Oryzias latipes: one gene and its partner. The protein of the gene in region 1 purifies or fractionates together with the protein of each later gene. This does not show direct contact. Links are inferred from orthologs where the notes say so. Each region holds a gene or a part of one and is shown on either strand. Other genes may lie near its edges. The genes, in order: mcm7 and cdc6.

Region 1 (4,491 bases):
AGCTCATCTTTATTCCGTTTGCTTCCACAATGTAGTCCTGACAGCAGAACGTCGTCAGTGTGGGGCGGTTTTAAAGACCCGCTATGATGGAAATTGTGTTTTGGGTGACATTGTTCTCATGATGGAGGACATATAGCTTAACATTGCACTTATTTATCAAAATTGTTGTGAATCAGAAGCAGATGGAAGACCACTCTGCAAAAGACTGTTATGTAGAAGCTATGCTGGCCACAAGCCCCCGCTCCTACCCTGCCCTAGGAAATGACATGGATTTCACCTAAAAACAACACAATCATAACTAAAAGACCACTGAAAATGCTTTTACAATAGAACCAAAACAACAATTACACGTTTCTTCTACCACAAAGCTATGTAAGATTGTCAAAAAACTACTAAAGATGACCACAATTCTGTTTGCAGACAAACTGCAATAATCCATGCAACAAGATAATAAGAACAACAACAACAAAAAATGTGCTAAAACGCACGTCTCTCTCTTTGTACTCTGGCAGCAGCTCGTGGACGGCGTCGGCAAACAGGCCCGTGTAGCGTTTGGCGTTTTCACTGATGCTCTCCACCAGCTCAGGGTCTTCTTCAGCCACGTCGTCCAGCTCCACAAAGAGGCCCACCTGCTCCCTGTGGGCCAAAGCCACCTATCCACAAACACACCAAAGCTATTAGAAAAACAAGCATGTTGACAAGCTGATGGGAAGGACTCAGTTGGTTGATTTAAAAAGCAGATTATGGTGGATAAACTGGAATAATAATGACAATGAGAAGAGAAAACAGGCGCTCTCTGAAACGCCTCCATCTGCCATAAATGCATGTGCTGTGCATTGGCTGTACTCACAAGTTGTGCTCCGTACTTGAACACCTTCTTCCCATTGCCGTCCTCTGTGTAAAACTCCTGCAGGAACCTTTTGCACTTTTCTGCAAAACACAAATCCCCGGTCTTAATAATACAAACAAAGGCGGTTTGAATGCTGTTGGCAAAAACAGTTTTATGCATTATATTCCTATAACAGAATGATTATCAATTTGAAGCTGCAGGCCTGCAAACTGGGAGCTAATTTGTTGTCCTGCGACGACCCTCTTTGTTGAGTAACATGGCATCCTGTAATCTCGATGAGTCACTATTGCCTACTGTAACACACAATTAGCCGCCGGAGCCCTGATGGAAGCTAGTTTTCGCACAGGTGCGCACATTAGCGCGATTTTCGGGTACACAACAAACGGGCTTCCTGGAGCGGATTTTCCTCAGAGCGCGTTGTAAATAAAACAACAACAAGCGCGCATTCACTTCGGCGCCCCTCTTTTTTGAAAACACTTCAACCCCAACTTCGGAAGCAGAACCGCGGAACTAACGGAATTAACAAACAAACAGCCTTTGTGTGGCGATAAAAACCATTTAACTTACTTGTAGGTAGCAACGGGAAAGCGCCAGTGTGGCTTTATTGCGTATCTGGTCGAGGATGTTATTGTAAACAAAGCAGCACATGGCTTTTGTGCCGCGTCACTTCATATCCCTCCGCGGCTCCTCCGCTCTTAAAAGCAGTCCATGCTGTTGTTTTCTAACCGCGGCCAGCCATCTTTTATCATTAGCTGCTGCTAGCAGGGTAGTGATTCGTACACGCCGCCCCGACCAAACGCATCTTTAATAGGATAAATAGCCCAGCGGTAAGGGGGGAGACGGCAAAAACTAGTCCCAAGGGGTGTTCTAAACATGCGCAAACCCGAAATATATTGATCCAAAAACGGTAACATAAATTATTTTTACCCGGGGACCATAAACTATCCATGTAACAGCATGAAAACTAGTTTGGCGCATAATAAGTACCGTTTACATACACTGAGAGGTGTTTGAGCACAATTTAGTTGCATCGTTTTTTGTGTTCTTGTGTGTGTTTTTTCCTGACTCTGCTTGTTGCCACACAAGTTTTTTAAAGGGTCTGTCAGTAGTTACGTTGTATAGATGTTCAAAACCCTGAGTCTGAAGTGTTAGCGTGTCTGTTTTCACGGAAGGGAACGGACTGCGCGGCTCTACAGCAGCAGCAGCAGCGCCGGCTGAGTCACCGCACGAAGCGCTAAATACAAAATGGCCCGTTCACGGACGCCACAACAGCTACGCAGCTAGCATGCTAACACTCAGGAAAAAGGCTGGAGTCTCTACTTTGGCCACACATTTGGACTCTGTGTACACGAACTACAAAACCTGTGATTTTGTGGTGTTTAAAAGCCTTTTCACCATAAAGGGAAATTGTAGAAGTTACCCAATCATGAAAAGCACTTTATTTATGCTGGTTAAAAATATACGTTCATATTTGTACGTAAAGATAAAGTTGTTGTTAAAGGCGGCAGACTGTTTATATACATTGTGAAATGTCAACTTTCTGCGGGCCACCATCGCAGGGCATGTGCGTTGAAGTTGAGTGTGGCGCCTGCTCCTTTGTTTAAGGCTCCATCCGGGTCACCGCGGAGTCACCAACTCCAACGAAGTACGACTCACCAACTTATTAGTAACCATCTTAGGAGTAGTTATGTCTTAACGGGTTACTCTAACACACCGTGCTGTAATGTAACCACGACAAATAGAAATTAAAAGTATAAAACTGGCATTACAGGTGAGATAAAGTAGTGTATGAGATAAAGTTCACTAATGAATGACATCATCAACACGTAAATCTTCATATGAAATGTTCAGCGACATGCAGCTTCACACGATTTGCTTTTCGTTTAAAGATATTTGTCAAAAAAGGAAATCCGGCCAACCTGTTGCTGCCATGCTGTTCTCCACAGACACACAAGTCCTTACCTTTCTCTGCCGCATAATCCTTTCGCGCCATGGCTGCAGGCGTTCAGCTCCGCGACAGATGATTCGTAACGCAACGCTACAAAGCCCAGATGAAGTCAAACGTAAAGCTTAAATAGATATTTTATTTTCTATTCTTGGAGTGCTGAACTCATTCACAAGCACCCAGCTCCTGTCGGTCGGAGAGCAAAAAGTGGCGCGAGTCTGACAATCGCATCAGCCAATAGTTTCGCGGCTTTCACAGAGGAGGGGCGGGATTTGATAGTGGCGGGAAAGTTGCTGGAGACAACGTCTCACGTGACTGGATAAACTTCCGCCCAGTTTGTCAGGAATGGCGCGAAATGTGACGATAAGATTTTGCATGAACAGACTGAACCTACAAGACAAAGGAGGTACAGGGCAAAATCCAACCCTAAACTACATTTTGTTTGATAGAAAAAAATGCAAAAGCAAACATGTTTATAGGTAATTTTTCTCATTGAATGTGTAAACAAAACTAGAGGTAAGAGATTTTTATGCAATCACTGGTATCTTTTTCAGCTCTGGTTAATGGCTCTATTATTTTTATGATCTGTCATGGTTGTTAAAGCATATAGTTGACTGCTTTATATGTTTAAATCATTCAAAACCTAACACATGTTTTCCCATCACACATATCAATCAGGGCCGATACCTGTGTTTTACAACATTTAATTTCATTTTGAAATACAAAATCAAAAATGATGAAACACCAAACACAACACTTTTGAATAAGAGTCTTAAAAAAATAAACAAAACTGTTTAACAAAACACATGTTGCCAACAATACAACATACTAAGAAGTCCTTGCACTTTCAGTTTATAAAAAAGCTGACAGGTTTCGAACATTACTTCCAATAAAATATAAACATTTCAACTTTTCAAAAATATTTCATCTTTTACAACAAACAAAAATATTTATAAACAAAGTTACAAAGGGCAACAGCTCTCAAACAGAAAAAGAAACCTTTTTTTTAAGTACTTTTTACTCCTGAAGCTCCAGAAGATCTGGCTGGAGGATCCCCGAAAGATTTCAGTCAAAGAGCTCATCCAGGACGCTGACGGAGGTGTGCCTTGTAGAAGGCTGAAAGAAAACACAACCAGAGGACGCTTTTAACTTCACAATCAAATAGTTCACAACCAAAACAGTTTGCGGAACACTAACCGTACAAACTGATTTACAGATCATTCCAACCGTCTCAACTTTGAACAAAAACTAAAGCTAGCTCACAACAGGATCTCTACTTCTTCTTTACAGACTCGCTCCAATGAAAATGGGGTTTCTGGTCTTTTTCACATGTTCTTTTCTGACTATAGAGGACATATTTATTGTGCCTTTTAACCAGAACCTGAAAGTAGCGGCACATTACTCCAGCTTGGAAATCTTTGCACTAGCTCCCAGTCGGCTTTAGGATCCATTTTAAGATGCTTTTATTACTTTTTCTAAAAGTTTCAATGAAACTGGACCTTCATTGTCATCAGGTCCTCAGGCGCAGGTCTGCTGGTGATCTCAGAGGTCAGTACGGCCAGACCACGTCACATTGTGAAGAAAAAAACTTACAACTCATCTTTGTAGCTTAGCCTTTACATAGTTTTAGCAGAATGAGTAGGTGTTTTTTTAGAACTATTTTTAGTATTTATATTTTATTATTTATATCGAAAGC
Region 2 (4,314 bases), on another chromosome or scaffold:
GTACACCTCGTGAAGCTGAAACGGACCGGCCCGGTTACACGTCTGCACGGACACTGTGGTTCTGACATTCAGGACGACCTCTCACCTTCCCCAGGCTGGCCTCTCTGCTCTTCCCGCTCCGGACGAGCAGCAGGAGGCAGCAGACCAGCAGCTTCTGCTGCAGAGGGAAGCTCTCGCCGTCCGCGCTCTGGGACGCCATGCGCTCGCCGTAAACCTCCGACAGAACCCGGGCCACCTGCGGGAGGCCGACCCGAGACGCTGCATGGGACAGAAAGAGACTCGGTCTCAGTTTGGACCAAACATCTTCCTCCAGCTGAAGCTTGAGGGGGGGGTCTGCCTCACCTGGACTCTCGTTTTCGGGCTGCAGTTTTTTCTTCCTCTGGTCGGATTCTACCATCTCCACCGCTCTCCTGAAAGCAGCGGAAACTCCGGATCAGAACCGAGGACGGTTCCTCACCACAGATCATGAACCACCTCACACACCTGCAGATGTCCAGAGCTTTCCTGGCGTCTCCGGACACAGCAGACACTTTTCTGGCACAGAACTGGACCGCAGAGGCGTCCAGAACCCCTTCGGCCGACACCTGGGAGGACGGGCACAGCAAAAACCGGAGTCACACCGAGAACTGCGGCCCAAGAAGCCTTGGAACCCGAGCGGCGCATACCTGTGCCAGCCGGTCCTTCACGATGGCCGTCAGCTCGTCCCGGCTGTAGGGAGCAAAGTGCAGCAGCAGGGGGCGACAGTGGAGGCGGGCCTGCAGCCGCGGCAGGATCCGGTCCGTCAGGTCCAGAGCGTTGGCAATACCTGCAGGCAGAGGAACAATCAGAACCAAAACCCAAACACAGAGAAGTTGAAACAGAACCGATTGGAGGTTTTACCGATGAGACAGAGGCGGGACTTGGGCAGGAACGGCCATTCAAAGATGGTGTAGAGGACGTCCTGAGCTTTGCTGTCCAGCTGGTCCATCTCGTCCAGAACCAGGAGCCTGAGGAGAACACCGGTCCGTCAGGGGAGGGCACAGCCAGCGGGGGCGTGCACCAACAACGCTCAGTCACTTCTGGTTCACTCACACTGCGGGTCCGGAGCCGGTCAGGAACCTCTGCAGGCCGTTCTGCCCCCCAGGGGCTCGGAGTTTGTCGGCCAGCAGCGGGAAGATGGCGTGCGAGCTCCTCAGACTCATGCAGTTCACCGTCACGGCCTGAACGCCGGCCAGCTCGCCCTGCAAACGCAGAGTAGGAAACCCAAACCTCACTGCAGTTCTTTGGCGTCTGCTGAGACTCAGACGCCGTCCCGGGCCTCACTAGAACCCCGGAATGAAGCGGGTCGCCCCCTCACCTTCATCTCCTGCAGAACACAGTTCAGGCAGGCCGTCTTGCCGGTTCCCGGAGCTCCTGAGATATAAAGGCTGCCGGGTCGGCGCTGCAGCACCTTCTCCTGCAGGAAGCGGCGGATGGACGCCTGCTCGGCCTCCCGGGACAGCAGGCGCTCCGGGACGGCGGTGTGGAGGGCCTGCTTGACGCTCTGAAACCTGGAGTCTGACGAAGAGGAGAAGCCAACTATTTACTCAAATCTATGTTCTGTGGATCGTCTGATGGACGTTTTTCTTCTTACTTTCTGCAAACAGCCGAGCTACAGGCGGCCGCCTCTCCTTGTGATGTTGGACCGGACTTCCTGTGGGCGTTTCCTGCCGCCGTGGCTGTCGTGGCGAGGAGGGGATCAGCTGTCTGCGAGCAGAGGCGGGGCAGTTCTCGTCGCTGCCCAGTTTTCTTGGAGACGGCCGGCTCTGCTTTGGAGGAGAAGCCTGCAGGTCTGAGCCGAGGTTGCAGCCGTTTTCCTGACCTGTGGAAGAAAAACGGAATTTTATACTGGGGTAAACATCTGCAGGGGGTAAAAACGGTCAGGGTCTCACCTGTGCGCTTCCGTGGACTGAGCGGCAGCCGGGTCTGGAGCGCCGGAGAGGAGGGTGGAGTCGGCAGTCGGGGTCGCCTGGGTGATAACAGAGGTTGGACGCTGCTCTGCTGCTTTGGGGGGCTGGCGGGGAGGCGGAGGGGTGACAGTGGAGGGTCCGCGGGCCTTTGGGGTGAAAGTTGACTCGGGGTGAAGGACTCGGGTTTGGACGGAGGGGCCAGTGGGGTCTTCTGGGAAACCCTGCAGGATTTACGGCGAGGGAACTGCAGCGTGGGCTGAGATCCACTCTGAGAGCGAGTGCTCGGCATGGTTACTCTGGGATGAAAAAAACAACAAGAGGAGGATGAGAATTATGATGACAGCGGATTAGAATTGTGTCTCCTGACGTTTGATCTATCGAAACCTCCCATTTAGGGTAAACTTTGTCTAAACAGAGAATGAATGAGTCTGTCTGAGATCATTAACCTTAATAATAGAGTTTTATCTTCTCCTAAAGGCATTCGTAAGGTAACATGATAATCCAATCACATCTTTAATGATCGACGCTAAAAGTTAACCCTATGATGACAAAGATCTATGAAGGAAACAAGTTGGCTCTTTAATGGCGCCAAATTGTAGTTTGGGAATCAAACCGTGAATTCAGATCATAAACATATTTGCTGCTTTAAGAAAAACACAGAATAATGAATAGAAAAATGTAGATTCATGGTTTCGGGAATGAGAGTGTAACATTTAAACAAAATCTCCACAACTGTGCTCTTTTGTCGTGAAACAGACCCTCGGATTTCTCTCTCAAACAAACTGCAACATTATCAAGTTTGGTTTTAAACTTTAGACCGAACAGATGCGGATAAACGTACCTTTCTGAGATCCTAAAGAAATCCTCTGAAAAACAGAGAAACGTCCTGCAGGATTAGATTAAAACCAGGATCCAGATTCTGTCCGAACCGCTGAACTGAGATCAAACTTGCGCCAAAATTTCCTCCGCAACTCCTCCTCCATCCGCCGGATGTCCCGCTGCTGCTCCCTGATTGGTCATCATGACGCCGGCCGCGACGCTCATTGGTTAAACAACCGGATGTTGCGTCATCTCCGTCTGCTCACACATAAACTGGTGGCGGGAATTGAATCGGAACTACGTTTGGCGGGTCCTTGTTTTCCCCGGATTGTAAAGACGTTTGTGTTTGTTTGCCTTTAAAAATGTTTGTTTAAATTAACTGAATTACTGTAATTAATAAACCAATTAAATTAAATAAACTGCATTTTGTATTTCTTCGTTGTGCTCATATGAGATGAAACTGTCATGGATCAAAGACAGTTTCTTTACGGTTTAGTTCTTTATGATGCATTTCATGTTTTTATTTTCTTTATTAGATCTTCAAAAGATGAAACACACATTCACATACCGACAACATAAAATAAATAAAAAATAAGAAAATAAAAAAAACATCAGAATTGTAGTTCACAATAGTAGGGTTTGTCATACAACGTATGATCTTCAATAAAAATGGACAGCTTTATTACGTTTTTGTTTTTCATCAATTTCAGCAATATAAATATAAAAAGATTTCTTTATGAAATGTATTTAATAATGGTTTGATTTTTAAAAATCTGCTCTTATGAATGAAAAATTTCCCAGAAATTAATATATCCATATATTAATATTATGTATTAAATGCCAAATATAATAATTTATTACCACAAACTACACCAATTAACCCTTGTTCTATCCTAGGCACTTTAACATTGGGAGTTGGGTCATCTAGACCCACTAGACAGAGCTCTGAACCTTTTTTCTTCAATGATTTGTGATCTTCACTGGTGTCCATGGATTACATGAAATCTTTCCACCTTTATCCACCTTTGTCATGGTAGGGAGAACACCTCAATGGAAGGGGGGGTCATCTAAGATAGAACAAGGGTTAATACGCTGTGTTTTTGTAATTGAATAGAAAGAGGAAAATGAAACTTTGATGAGCACCAAAAAAAAAACTCCCAAAAACTGTAAACATATATACATTCAAAAAACAGACGACCAAGTGTTTTCTATGTTTATATTGCATAAAGAACAGTTATTTTCTGGAAAACCAAAAGGTATATGTAGTACTTACTTGCATGGATAGACTTTGTATTTTTGGAAAATTTGAATATTTAACCCTTGTGCTATCTCACATGACCCCCCCCCCCCCCCCCCCCCCCCGTTTTGCATTTCATCTTATTCCGAATCCCACAATAATACTTTTTTCCAGACAATTAAAGATTTCATTCCTAAGATTGATGACAATTTTAGAAATTCTTGTGATTCAGAAATAACTTTGCAGGAATTAGAGAAGGCTTTAAGCTGTCTCTCCAATGATAAAGCTCCAGGATGTGATGGACTGACCAGTAACTTTTATAAATTCTTT

What was found.
Region 2: the proteins of mcm7 (region 1) and cdc6 purify together in Homo sapiens (affinity purification with western blotting; 3 studies listed by BioGRID). This does not show direct contact. The link is inferred for Oryzias latipes from reciprocal best matches to the Homo sapiens genes MCM7 and CDC6.

The regions. Positions count from the first base shown.
Region 1 is NC_019868.2:6,627,200-6,631,690, reverse strand, and holds the start of mcm7 (DNA replication licensing factor MCM7), read right to left. Parts: upstream 2,844-4,491; coding exon 2,813-2,843; intron 1,461-2,812; exon of another isoform or gene 1,418-1,460; intron 931-1,417; coding exon 851-930; intron 654-850; coding exon 489-653; intron 1-488. Other genes in the region: cohesin subunit SA-1, read right to left, coding at 3,861-3,911. UniProt on the Homo sapiens protein: Acts as a component of the MCM2-7 complex (MCM complex) which is the replicative helicase essential for 'once per cell cycle' DNA replication initiation and elongation in eukaryotic cells.
Region 2 is NC_019859.2:2,063,540-2,067,853, reverse strand, and holds the start of cdc6 (cell division control protein 6 homolog), read right to left. Parts: upstream 2,879-4,314; 5' UTR 2,770-2,878; intron 2,225-2,769; 5' UTR 2,218-2,224; coding exon 1,911-2,217; intron 1,841-1,910; coding exon 1,613-1,840; intron 1,537-1,612; coding exon 1,337-1,536; intron 1,221-1,336; coding exon 1,072-1,220; intron 987-1,071; coding exon 880-986; intron 806-879; coding exon 666-805; intron 585-665; coding exon 484-584; intron 411-483; coding exon 86-410; intron 16-85; coding exon 1-15. UniProt on the Homo sapiens protein: Involved in the initiation of DNA replication. Also participates in checkpoint controls that ensure DNA replication is completed before mitosis is initiated.